Linked DNA regions of Ovis aries. The protein of the gene in region 2 binds, or shares a complex with, the protein of the main gene of each other region. Links are inferred from orthologs where the notes say so. Each region holds a gene or a part of one and is shown on either strand. Other genes may lie near its edges.

Region 1 (6,194 bases), on a different chromosome or scaffold from region 2:
CAGCATTTCTCAGCCTGATCAGCGGTGGCACCAGCCTCTTCTGGGAACTTGTCAGTGGTTTGATTACCTGCTGGTGGTGGTTTAGTTACTCAGTCCTGTCCTAGACTTTGCCCCTGGGCTATAACCCGGCACGCTCCTCTGTCCATGGGATTCTCCAGGCAAGAATACTGGAGTGGGTTGCCATTTCCTTCTCCAGGGGATCTTCCTGGCCCAGGGATCAAACCCGCATCTCCCTCGCAGGAAGTCTCCTGCATTGCAGGCAGATTCTTTACTGCTGAGCCGCCAAGGAACTTCTTAGAAAAGCAGATTCTCAGGCCTACCCTGGACCTACTGGATTGGGTCTAGGGGGTGAGCAGGAAGAATTCTGCCCAAAGTTAAGCATGGGACCAATTCTGGTACATACTCACGTCTGAGAATCACTGTAATAAGTGATCTTGCTCCCAAGCCTATGCATAAATCATGGAAACACCTACTATGCTCTACGATGACCACAAAATCACTGACTGAGAGGTCTGAGTGTGGGTTTACTGTTTTTCCCTTCCATTATATGGATGGGAATGGATGCTCTAATCACTGAGAAAAAGCAATCCTACCCACAAGTTTACATTATCAGAAGAAAAATAGCAAAATGAAGACCTAGATCATAAGCTTATTAGAAGGTGGTAAGAGGTATGAAGACAAACAGTAGAGAGGATTGTGTGTGAGGGGGTGTGTGGGATGTGCTGGCTGACGTTTCAAAGGAGAGATGGGAGAAAGGCTTCCAAGAAGGTGTCCCATGAGTAGGGAAGGCAGTCAGGTGACAGGCAGGCGGGTAAGTGCAGAAGGGCCTCCCAGGCTGAACAGCAGGTACAAAGGCCCTGGGGTGGGACTGTGCCTCTGTGTTCGTTTGCGGAACCACAGAGAGACTCGGGGGCCTGGGCAGAGAGTGAAGGTGAGTGGAAGGGGAGCGGTCAGCGTAGACCAGGTGAGGCCTTGCTGGCCCCTTGCAGCACAGGGCAATCTTGTCATGCATGTATCTCGGCCCACACATTTTTCTGTGATAACCCTCTTGCTCACTCCCTATCCTTTCATTTTTAGTTTTATTTTTCCTTCTCCCTAGGACAGGCCTGTTCAAGACTGTCACCAGCACTGCTTGGAGCACTGAAGCCATCCACTGAATGTATTCTGAACTGTTTCTAGGGGCTCTTTATTTCACCCATCCTTAGCACAGTGACCTGACCTGCCAGGAGTTTTCACACTGGCTTTGGCATCCACACAGATTTCAAACTTCCACTTGGGGGATACAACCCATCCCCCCCAAATTGGGGGCAACAGGTTCCATCAGAGACCCTGCACAGGGTTCTGTGACGAGCTGACCCACCCACCCTAGGCTCCATCCTGTCTTCTCTTACAAGACGTAGGAAGCAGGCCCCACAACAACCCACAAGCAGAGATATGAGAACTGAAATAGACACAGGTAATAACTGCATCATCTCCACCTGCAAAAGGCACCACATACAAGCTGCTGAATCAGACAGAGTTCGGGTGGGAAGGATTGAGGACTCCCAGGCCGGTGATCCCCTCTTTACATGGTAGCATGTCACTGGTTGCTCACGAGATCACGAGAAGGAATGTGGGATTTCCGCCTCTTTGTTTTCTGATGACTTGGGAAAGTAAATTTCAGCCTGTGTAGGAAACCACGTCTGCTCATGTGCAGCTATGTCATGTAAGGGGTCATGGTACCTGTGTGGCAGGAGCATCCCACCTCAGCCTCTCCCATCATCAAAAACAGACTCAGCAAATTCCTGCAAATATGCTTTGATTCCCAGCTTCCCTGGAGAAGGGCATGGCTACCCACTCCAGTGTTCTTGCCTGGAGAATTCCATGGACAGAGGAGCCTGGCAGGCTTACAGTCCCTGGTGGTCACAGAGTCAGACATGACTGAACAACTAACACTTTCACTTTCACCAAGCTGTCCAGCAGCTGAACACAAACTAAAATCATGGGCTTCCCAGATTGATCCAAGATCCCAAATTAACAAGCACCAAATAAATCATTTGCTAATTTTTTCAAGGTTCGATGAACACAAGTGGACAAGTCAGTTGCTCGGCGAGTCACCTAGAATCTAGGCCAGAGCAGAGGATGGAGGAGAAATTGAGCTGCCGAGTTATAAAAGTCACACATTTTACCAAAAGCAATAAACTGCAGCAAGAGCTTAAGGTCCACCATGAAGTATTTCTAGTCACTGATAGTCAGGGTCACTCCAGCTGCCAACTAGGACCAGATGACAATTCACTTATTCTCTGTGTGACAGAATGAGTCCATTCCTAAAAGCTCAGCAGCAGCCCCCGGGCTGGGGTATAGGAACACCCCAAGTGCTACAGGAACCCAGATGTGGATTTGTGAGCAGACCCTATTTGAAGGGTGTGTACAGAGAATAACTGTCCTCAGGTTGATTTCAAGTTGTAACTGAGCTCAGACAAGTCCCTTTAATTAAAGGAAATCTCTGCCAGGTAATTTGCAAGTTCATATCTTGGTGGAGTAGTCTAAGATTTCACTTCTCATTCATTTATTTCAGACGACTTGCGTTACCTGCTTTTAGTTGAAGAACTGCAATGTTAAAAGTCTTAAATCTTATTAAATTGCATCAGGACAGGATTTAAATGCCAACCACTCTTTACTGCCCAGACAAGGCAGAAACACTGAGCAGACCCGTCTGCACCCAGCAAACTCATCATCTCAGGAAGGAAATTGTTGAATTTGATCATCTGGTTTATTTACCCATAACACACACACACACCCTTATGGCTGGGTTCTTGGAAACAGTCTGATATCGCAAAATTCAGGGGCTGCAGACATCCTGTCTTTAGGCATCAACATAAATTCTAAACCCCAAAACAATGAAGACAGTGAGAATTTAAATGCACACAAGGGGCTCTCTGCAAACCTCTATGTGCACATACAAAGGCATCAGGGCGCCTCCTCCACCCAGTACCCCAGCTCAGGGTGCCCCCACATTCAGAGGGGTGCTGACTCTGCCAGCCAGATGTGGGGAGTCTTAGAACTTCCAGAGATTTAGAGCAACTTCCCTCCCATCAAACCTCTCACTGGAGAAAGATATGTGTGTGTGCTCAGTTGTTCAGTCGTGTCCAACTCTTTGCGACCCAGTGGACTGTAGCCCGCCAGGTTCCTCCATCCATGGTGTTCTCCAGGCAAGAATATGGGGTGCATTGCCATTTCCTCCTCCAGGGGATCCTCTCAACCCAGGGATCAAACCTGAGTCTCCTGCATCTCCTGCATTGCAGAAGAATTCTTTACTGCTGAGCCACTGAGGAAGCCTTGGGGAAGAATAAACAGCATTTAAAGTCTGTCCGATGAATAACAGGCATGCCAGGAATTTTCCAGCCAAGTCTCAGCTTTCAACGCAACCCAAGAACAGCTCCCAGTGAAGCTAGAATTGAGAAACTGTCTCAAATTCCTACACTCACAGGGCATCCCAGTTTTCATTTCAACTCTGTGGAATTTGGGAAACAGATATGCCTCAGATTGCTCTTTCCCCCCAAGGCCAGCAGCTAGCGGGCCTCCAGGAGCTAAGCACCAGCTCCCCAGGAGGAAGCCGGTATCTGTGGGGAGTCCACTGGCCACACACCAGACCCACGGGGTGTCTCACCTGTGGCAGGTGTATCTGCCTCTCGGGCCTTCAGCGAAGGTTCTTGGTCCCCTCTTTCCTGCCTCCGACCTCTCCCCACACAGACGCAGGAACAAATCTGTCGGCCACTGGAGAATCTGGACGGTACTCAGCTGTTACCAGGAAGTGGCTCACGTCACAAGCCAAGCTGTGCACACAGAGGTGGCCTCCTGCCTCGGGCCCAGAACAGCAGACTCTCAGTTAATCATCAGCCAGCCCGAGGGCCGGTCAGACGGTCAGACGGACAACGCCCCGCCTCAGGGCCACGGCTGCACTTCCACCTGGCCTCCACCCCTAGTTCCCGCCCACGAGCTTTCTCACATCCAGCAGAGTCAGGCCCGAGCCTCCTGCCCCAGTGAGAGGACAGCAAACCCTTCCTGCCCATGGTTGTGGATATAGATATGGACGCGGACCCGGCCGGCCGCCAACCAACCTTGCTCCCTGGGCTCCGGCACAGGCCCGGGGCTGGCAAAGCCGGTTCCTGCTCCCAGACAGGTTCCTCCACGTCCACAAGAACAGGTTCTTTTGTGAAAGAAAAAAAAAAAAAAAAAAGTCCTGAGGGTGAAGTCCTCTGGAGTAGAGCCAGCTTTAAAAGTCAAGTCCTTAGAGGCTTCCTGGGCTGGTGGCTTGTCCCCGTGTCCCTCCCTCCCCACTTCCCTCTCCTCTCTCTCTCCTGCCCCGTTGCTCTTCCTCCCTCCCTTCCCCTCCACCCCGGGCCGGCTCCCTACCTTGCCCAGGCCAGCTGTGCCCAGCGTCTCTTGGTCGCCCTACGCCAGGCCCGCCCGCCCCACCGCAATGGAGCTGCCCCAGCCGGAGCCCGTGGCAGGCTCGGCTCTCAGTCCGGCTGGCATGCGAGGTGGCACCCAGCGTCCTGGCCACCTCCCGGGCCTCTGGCTGGGGGCTCATGGCCTCCTGGGGTCTCCGGAGTGCACGGCCGCTTCCTCGCCGGTCACCACCCTCACCCAGACTATGCACCATCTCGCTGGGCTCGGCAGGTTCGAACAGGCCATCCAGGCAGCCAGCCGAGTTATTCAAAATGAGCAGTTTGCCATCCGACGTTTCCAGTCCTTGCCAGGGAGTCTTCTGGGCCACAGTCCTGTGCTACGGAACATCACCAACTCCCCAGCTTCTGGCACCTGGAGGAAGACTGAGGCCTGTGACCAAGCTGCCTACGGCTCTGGGGAGGACAAAGAGAATGATGGATTTGTCTTCAAGATGCCAGGGAAACCCACACAGCCCTGCCACTCCCGTGTTCTTGGGGAGTGGGCCAGCCGCAGAGAAGACTTTGCCCAGAGGCCAAGCTTAGCTCCCGACCTGATGTGTCTCACCCCTGAGCGGAAGATGGAAGGAGAGGAACTGATCCCCCTGGCCCGATGCCACTTCTCCCTGACCCCCTCCACAGGGGCTGTTGAGGAAGACGATGGATTCGTGGATATCCTGGAGACTGACTTAAAGGAGAATGATGTAGTTCCCCCAGGCATGGAGAGCCTCATCAGTGCCCCACTGGTCAAGACCTCAGAAAAGGAAGAGGAACAGGACCTCATCATGTACAGCAAGTGCCAGCGGCTCTTCCGCTCTCCGTCCATGCCCTGCGGTGTGATCCGGCCCATCCTCAAGAGGCTAGAGCGCCCACAGGACCAGGATCTGCCTGTATAGAACAAGTGGAAAAGGAGCGTGACCCCTTCAGAGGAGGAGCTGTGGGAGGCTGAGGAACCTAAAGCCCGCATTCTCCGCTCAAAGTCTCTGTGTCATGATGAGATTGAGAATATCCTGGACAATGACCACCGAGAACTGATCGGGGATTACTCCAAGGCCTTCCTCCTACAAACTGTGGATGGAAAGCACCAAGATCTCAAGTACATCTCACCAGAAACAGTGGTGGCTCTGCTGACAGGCAAGTTCAGCCACATCGTGGAGAAGTTTGTGATTGTTGACTGCAGATACTCCTATGAGTATGAAGGCGGGCACATCAAGACTGCTGTGAACCTGCCTCTGGAACGGGATGCCGAGACCTTCCTGCTACAGAGCCCCATCACACCCTGCATCCTGGATAAGAGAATCATCCTCATTTTCCACTGTGAATTTTCATCTGAGCGGGACCCCCGCATGTGCCGTTTCATCAGGGAACGAGACAGAGCCTCCAACGACTACCCCAGCCTCTACTATCCTGAGATGTATATACTCAAAGGCGGCTACAAGGACTTCTTCCCACAGCACCCGACCTTCTGTGAGTCTCAAGACTACCGGCCCATGAACCATGAGGACTTCAAGGATGAAATGAAGACCTTCCGCCTCAAGACACACAGCTGGGCTGGCGAGCGGAGCCAGAGAGAACTCTGCAGCCACCTGCAGGACCAGTGAAGGGCCAGCAACTGTCCCACCCACCTTCCTTGCTTTGTGCGGCCTGGGCATCAGCCGCCCTGTGGCCTCCGGGACTGAGGGTCTGCTGTCCAGGGAAAAGACGGTAAGGGTGTCCTGTCTGCCTGCACCAGCCCTGATCCTCTGTCTCACTCCAGTCATGTTCCGT
Region 2 (5,488 bases):
GGTGAGCCGCAACAAGCACCCAATGTAGCCAGAAAAAAAAAAAAAAAAAAAAGGAAAAGTAATTTTTGCCTTTGGTTACTTATATAAGTAGAGTAATCAAGGTAAAAAATATTTATGCCCTTAGGAAGACAGGTGTCGTAGAAAGTAAGGGCTAGTCCTGTGGTCATCACCCCTGGCGTCATTCTAGAAGCCCAGGCCACGCCCAGCCTCATGGGGAAGCAACTTACCATCAAGGACAGTGGTGTTTTCAGAATCCTCTCGTCCCTGGTCAGCTTGGCTGACAACGGTACTTCCACTCTTTGTCCTTCGGAGAACACTCAAGGCTCGGTTTATTTTTTTAAAGGATCTGCTTCTGATGGTGGATCGCTCAAAGGGCCGTGCTGAAGACAAGAGAGAAAAAGGTCTTTTTAATGGACACGGCTGGCAAGATACACAACAGACTGCAAACGGTGATTACTTCGAGGTAGCAGGATGATACAATTTGCTTATCTGTATGTTCTCAGTTTTCTACAATGAAATATGGACGGTTTATTTAAAATCTGCTTGTCATTTTTTCCTAGGCTGGATGGAATATAACAGCACTTTTCTCGAGTTGCCTGGGTGGGAAGGTATGGACGCTGCAGGAGTGATGAATCACTAGGTCTAACTTCAACTCCTTTCACCAAGTCAGATTACACACGTTTCTAATGATCTCAAGTCCTCGTGGTTTCATTTCACTTTGGAGAACTGGATGTTGGGTTGTGGCCAAAACTACCAGAACAATTTCCTCTTAAACAAAACATTTCTAGGACTTTCCACAGTGACCGTTTCACAGAGGGCAGTCCCAAGGCAGAAGAGCCCATTCCCGGACAACCACCCATTTGACTCACCCCTTGTTCGGTTGCTCCGGCCAGAGTCCAGGGGGCTATTTGGCTGACCATCCTCTGCTGTGGACACGTAGGCAGGGTTGTCTAGGCCAGGCTCATCTGTCATTAAGGAGACGGTGGGAACTGTGGAAATCTCTGGGGACAGTGCTGTTGCTGTGAGGCTGGTGCTGCCATCTGGACAGCCATCCTGAGAGCGCCTCTTCCTGTCTTTAGTGAGACCGTAGTGGGAGGCACCTTTGCAGCTGTAACAAAGCCAGAAGGAGGTCAGAGAAAGCTTTGCACATCGCTCAGCTGGGCCTCTTCCAGCGCACGTGCTTGCTGCCCTCGGAAATTGATTTGCTCGCCCCTGGTTCCCCTCTCTTTTCACATGGAGGTAAGTCAATATACACTTGCCAATCAAATGAATGAATGACTTGAGAGAACAGCTTTTAAAATTCGTCTATTGCATTTTGTTAAAACACTCTCTATCCCGGTGCCTGAAATGCAAACTGTGAGAGTTGTCATGGGGTCACAAAGACTAGGGCTTGAGGCTGGCTATCTTCAACTATTTGGACGTGGTAATTCCTTCTTGCTGGTGTTTATCTTGACCATGAAAGCCCTTAGTCACCCTCTCAATCCTTTCTTTTGGGTTTAGTTTCCCAAACCACTGAACATAAACACAAAACTCCTCCCAGATTCCATATTTAACTGTCCATGGAAATAGAATCACCCGCATTACAAAGCCACAGGAGTTTGCTCAGCACCATGGTTCTCTAGAGGCCGGCTTGCTGGCTTCCAGTCCCCTGCCTTGGGGCTGGTCTCAGAGTGGCCAGAATCTCTGAGGGACTGAGGACTGGGGGCTCCCATGCACTAAAAATGTGCCTGTCTTCTAACATTGGGAGAGTAAAACAACATTCACGCTCTTTTAAAAAATAGGTCTATATCCATTCACCCTCCATGTTAAAGAGCAAGCCTAAGAGTCAGGAGACCAAGGTTCGAGTTTATCCAAGTCCATATTTTTGCTGTGAATGCCCTTCCATTGTCACTAGGCAAGTCATCTCAGCTCTTAGGTAGGTTTCGATCAGAAAATGCTGATGATTTCACTCTTTCAGTGTTGTGGTGAGGATGTAGCCACAGACAGCCACACCAGCTTCCCAGTGATCATGAAGGCAGAAATTGAATGGGCGAGTCCCTTTAAGAAGCGACTATTTGCATATAATGGATGTTAATTTCTAAATTATTTTCACCAACTCATTACAGAAAACTGGATATAATTGAGCTATTTTAGATAACACTTTGAGAGCCTATTTGGAGTGATGTTTCTGAAAAGCAGTCTGCAGTTGATGTGCCCGTAATTGATACGGCCTGAGAGAGCCATAGAGCTGGTGGATAGAAGGGCCTCTGTCTGGATGGAAATCTTTGCTCTGAAATTTACGTAGCTGTATCATCTGGGAAAATTTTGTTAACGTGGTTAAACTTTCTAATCTGCACATACATCTTGGGTTGCTGTGAAGTCTGCTAGACATTAGGTCTTGGCAAGAGTTTAGTATTTTGCCAGATATATGGAAAATTCTCAACAGATTGTAGCCACTTCTATAACTGAACCATCTAAGTTGCCTGTTTTATCACATTAACTTCTTTGAGATTAGAGTGCATGGGGGATGGATGGGGTTCCAAAACTTCAGTTGCCAAGCTGCAGTCATGATGCAAACGCCATTGTCCAAGCACGGCAAACATGGTAACAGGTGTCCAGCTTGTCCCTTCCATTGAGTTGCATCCACTCTTGGTACTAGGCCAAGTTTAAATGCTGTTCATTGTCTTAGAAAAGATTACATTACAATTAAGCATTGAAACGAAAAGTAACTGTATAAATAGAAACTCTCAAAAACAGAGCAGTGTCAAGTAAATTTGACATTGGCAAAGTAAATATTTGTCATTAGAAGGACAGCAATTTCCGATTTTCTTATGAAGAGACAAGCAGACGCTTTATTTGCTTAGAAAGAAAGATACCACCAAGGAGATGAAAAGTGGTGTCACATTTTGTTATTGAAATCATCCAAAAGAATGGGCCTCTTTCATGCCAAACAATACAACTAGAGGGCAGGAGAGGTCTGAATGGAATTTGTCTGAATAGATTTTGAAGTCTGATCTCACCAACTCATGCATTGCAAGGATATCTTTAACAGTGTTTTGGAATGATTTAACCAGTGACAGTTTTTAAAATTTTCTTGCTGGTACATAAAACATGATGCTTCTTATAATCAATGATGATGATTTTATGTGGTTTTAATATTAGTAGAAAAGGACTGATTATACAACCCTACCTACATCTTTATCTTATAGAAGATGAAATGGGACTCTAGCTTCTCATACTAGTCTTTCTCTCCCTGAAAGAGTATAAGCTTCTTGCTTGAACTGGTGAGATTTTACTGTTCTGATGAGCTACTTTGGCTTTGAATCATTCTGCTTAAAAATAGCAAAGTGGTTGATATGAGAAGCTCAAAAATTGGAAGAAACATTGTGTGATGGAAAAAATAAAAGCCAGCATGCAGTTGAGCAGCTCCAAAGTCATAAACACATGAGTGGAACACTTCTCTGTAAGCCAGCAGTCTCAGACTAGCAACACATGGGAAGGAAGTTCCTAGGCTATTTTGTTGGACTAGAAACAGTCTTTCTTTTCTTGGGGCAGCAATGCTCTTCACCATGTGCCCTGCCAGAGCAGGAAATGAATCTTCCAATTGGACAAATGACCGGCAAAGGCACAAGCCATGGCCTTCCGAGGGGATGGACCACATCCCAGTGGAAAAAAGTAGCATCTTGTTCTGCTGCCACATCTGTGAGAAGGGGTAAGGTATTTAAAGATCTCTGAATGCCAAGCCTATGCCATTAAGAAACCATTTCTGTTTCAGATCCTTGGGGTTCCAAAGACACATTTTAGTCCAGGAAAGGAAAACATCATAAAATGGCTAAGATCACTCCCCTCTGGCCTCGTACCTCAGCTATCCTTACAATAGCCAGGGAGGGTAGATTTAAACATTCAGACTCATAAGCTTTGTATAAAAAAGGTTCTGCTAAAGTGACTAATACTTGTGTAATGTTGCTTGTTTCAGCTTCTTGGATGAGCTTGAATCTAAGGCACAGCGTGATCTATGAAGGTAGCAGCTTGTACTTACTAATTATCTCTTTCGTGTTGACTGATCCTGGGGCCTCCTGATTTACAGGCACAAGTGAGGGGAGGAGGGGGAAAGAGCTGATTAGCCTTGGCCAATACAGGAACATATGCTGAACCCTGGGTTGTGTTCAAAGCAAACAGGATTTATTCTCCCTTTAGTTATCCTGAGCATTAAGTACTCTCAGGTGGTGATGGGTGACAGCCATGAACTTGAAGGATGAACACAAGGAACGTGGTAAACCATTTTTCAACCACTTTGGATATGCCATCTGTTAAAGTAGCTCTGAAGATCAGTTTTGTTAATAACAGAGTTGAGATCCTGAGCTCCTATATCAAAGTGAGCGGAGGCAAATCTGTCTTAATATAAAAATGCTGACACTGGGGGCATGTGCCATGGAATTTTTGTCTTTTCTGCAAGGGAGAGGAGAAAGTAAGAAGAGAAAATGAACCTCTTCTTGCAAAAATTCCTGAGTCCATGAGTTCACGGCTAATGGGGGTTGACTGCAAGCAGGTTGGACCTCTGGTGTACTTTACAGAGGTTCTGATGAGATCAGAGCTCAGTACAAGTTGGTTTGCAGGGGAGGGCTCCTTTCTGATGATAGAATAAAAGAGGTCCTTGAGAAATCAAGCCTCAATACACTCATTATAACAGTCTGGGTAACTATACCACCTCTCTTTGATGCTTCAATTTCCCTCACATTCTTTCTCAGTTCACTTCTGAATTAGGTAAACACTGAATCTGCCCTCAAGTTGAGTTCATTAATTGCTCAGTCTGCTCTTACTTTAAACCAGGGCTTGCAAACTCATACACTAATCAGGCCAGGGGGTAGGGGGGAGAGGGGAGCGGTGGTTGTGGTGATCAGTGCTGTTCCATTTGAAAAGTGCGACAGGCAGCCCTACAGACCTCCTGAGTGTTGCCTCAAGAACACCAACCTAAGAGCAATTAGTCAAGAAATGAAAGTTGTCTGGAAAGGAAAAGGGGAACTATCACTGTTTGCAATGCCATATTATATATAGACACCGTCAAAGACTCAAAAAAAAAAAAACAAACCCCAAAAAACCTCGCTACAATTTTCCTGAACGAATTCAGCAAAGTTGCAGGATATAAAGTCAACACAGAAATGTTTGTTACATTTCTATACAAAATCAATACAGAAATATTTGTCGCATTTCTATACACTAACAAAGAACTATCAGAAAAGGAATTTTCAAAAAAATCCCACTTGCAATTGCATGAAAAATATCTAGGGATTTGACCAAGGAAGCAAAAGATCTGTACGCTGAAAACTGTAAGACGTTGATAAAAGAAATTAAGATGACACAAATAAATGGAAAGATATTGTGTGCTCATGGATTGGAAAATATTATTAAACTGTCCATACTACACAAATCAATCTACATGTTCAGTGTAATTCTTATCAAAATTCCAATGGTGTTTTTCACAGCAATAAAACAAACATTCCTAGAATTT

The links. The genes of interacting proteins can lie anywhere in the genome.
Region 1: the proteins of LNX1 (region 2) and IGSF5 are in contact, whole or in part, in a crystal structure (PDB 3VQG), measured with the Mus musculus proteins. The link is inferred for Ovis aries from reciprocal best matches to the Homo sapiens genes LNX1 and IGSF5. Residues at the interface, in NP_001153049.1 of Mus musculus: Gln396, Leu397, Gly398, Ile399, Lys400, Leu401, Val402, Phe413, Leu416, Pro446, Ala449, Ala450, Ile453; in NP_001171358.1 of Mus musculus: Val367, Thr368, Leu369, Val370.

The regions. Positions count from the first base shown.
Region 1 is NC_056054.1:260,559,519-260,565,712, reverse strand, and holds the start of IGSF5 (immunoglobulin superfamily member 5), read right to left. Parts: upstream 3,779-6,194; 5' UTR 3,650-3,778; intron 3,318-3,649; 5' UTR 3,081-3,317; intron 1-3,080. UniProt on the Homo sapiens protein: Provides, together with MAGI1, an adhesion machinery at tight junctions, which may regulate the permeability of kidney glomerulus and small intestinal epithelial cells. Mediates calcium-independent homophilic cell adhesion.
Region 2 is NC_056059.1:69,723,020-69,728,507, forward strand, and holds part of LNX1 (E3 ubiquitin-protein ligase LNX), read right to left. Parts: intron 1,240-5,488; exon of another isoform or gene 1,109-1,239; coding exon 870-1,108; exon of another isoform or gene 561-869; intron 464-560; exon of another isoform or gene 381-463; coding exon 228-380; intron 1-227.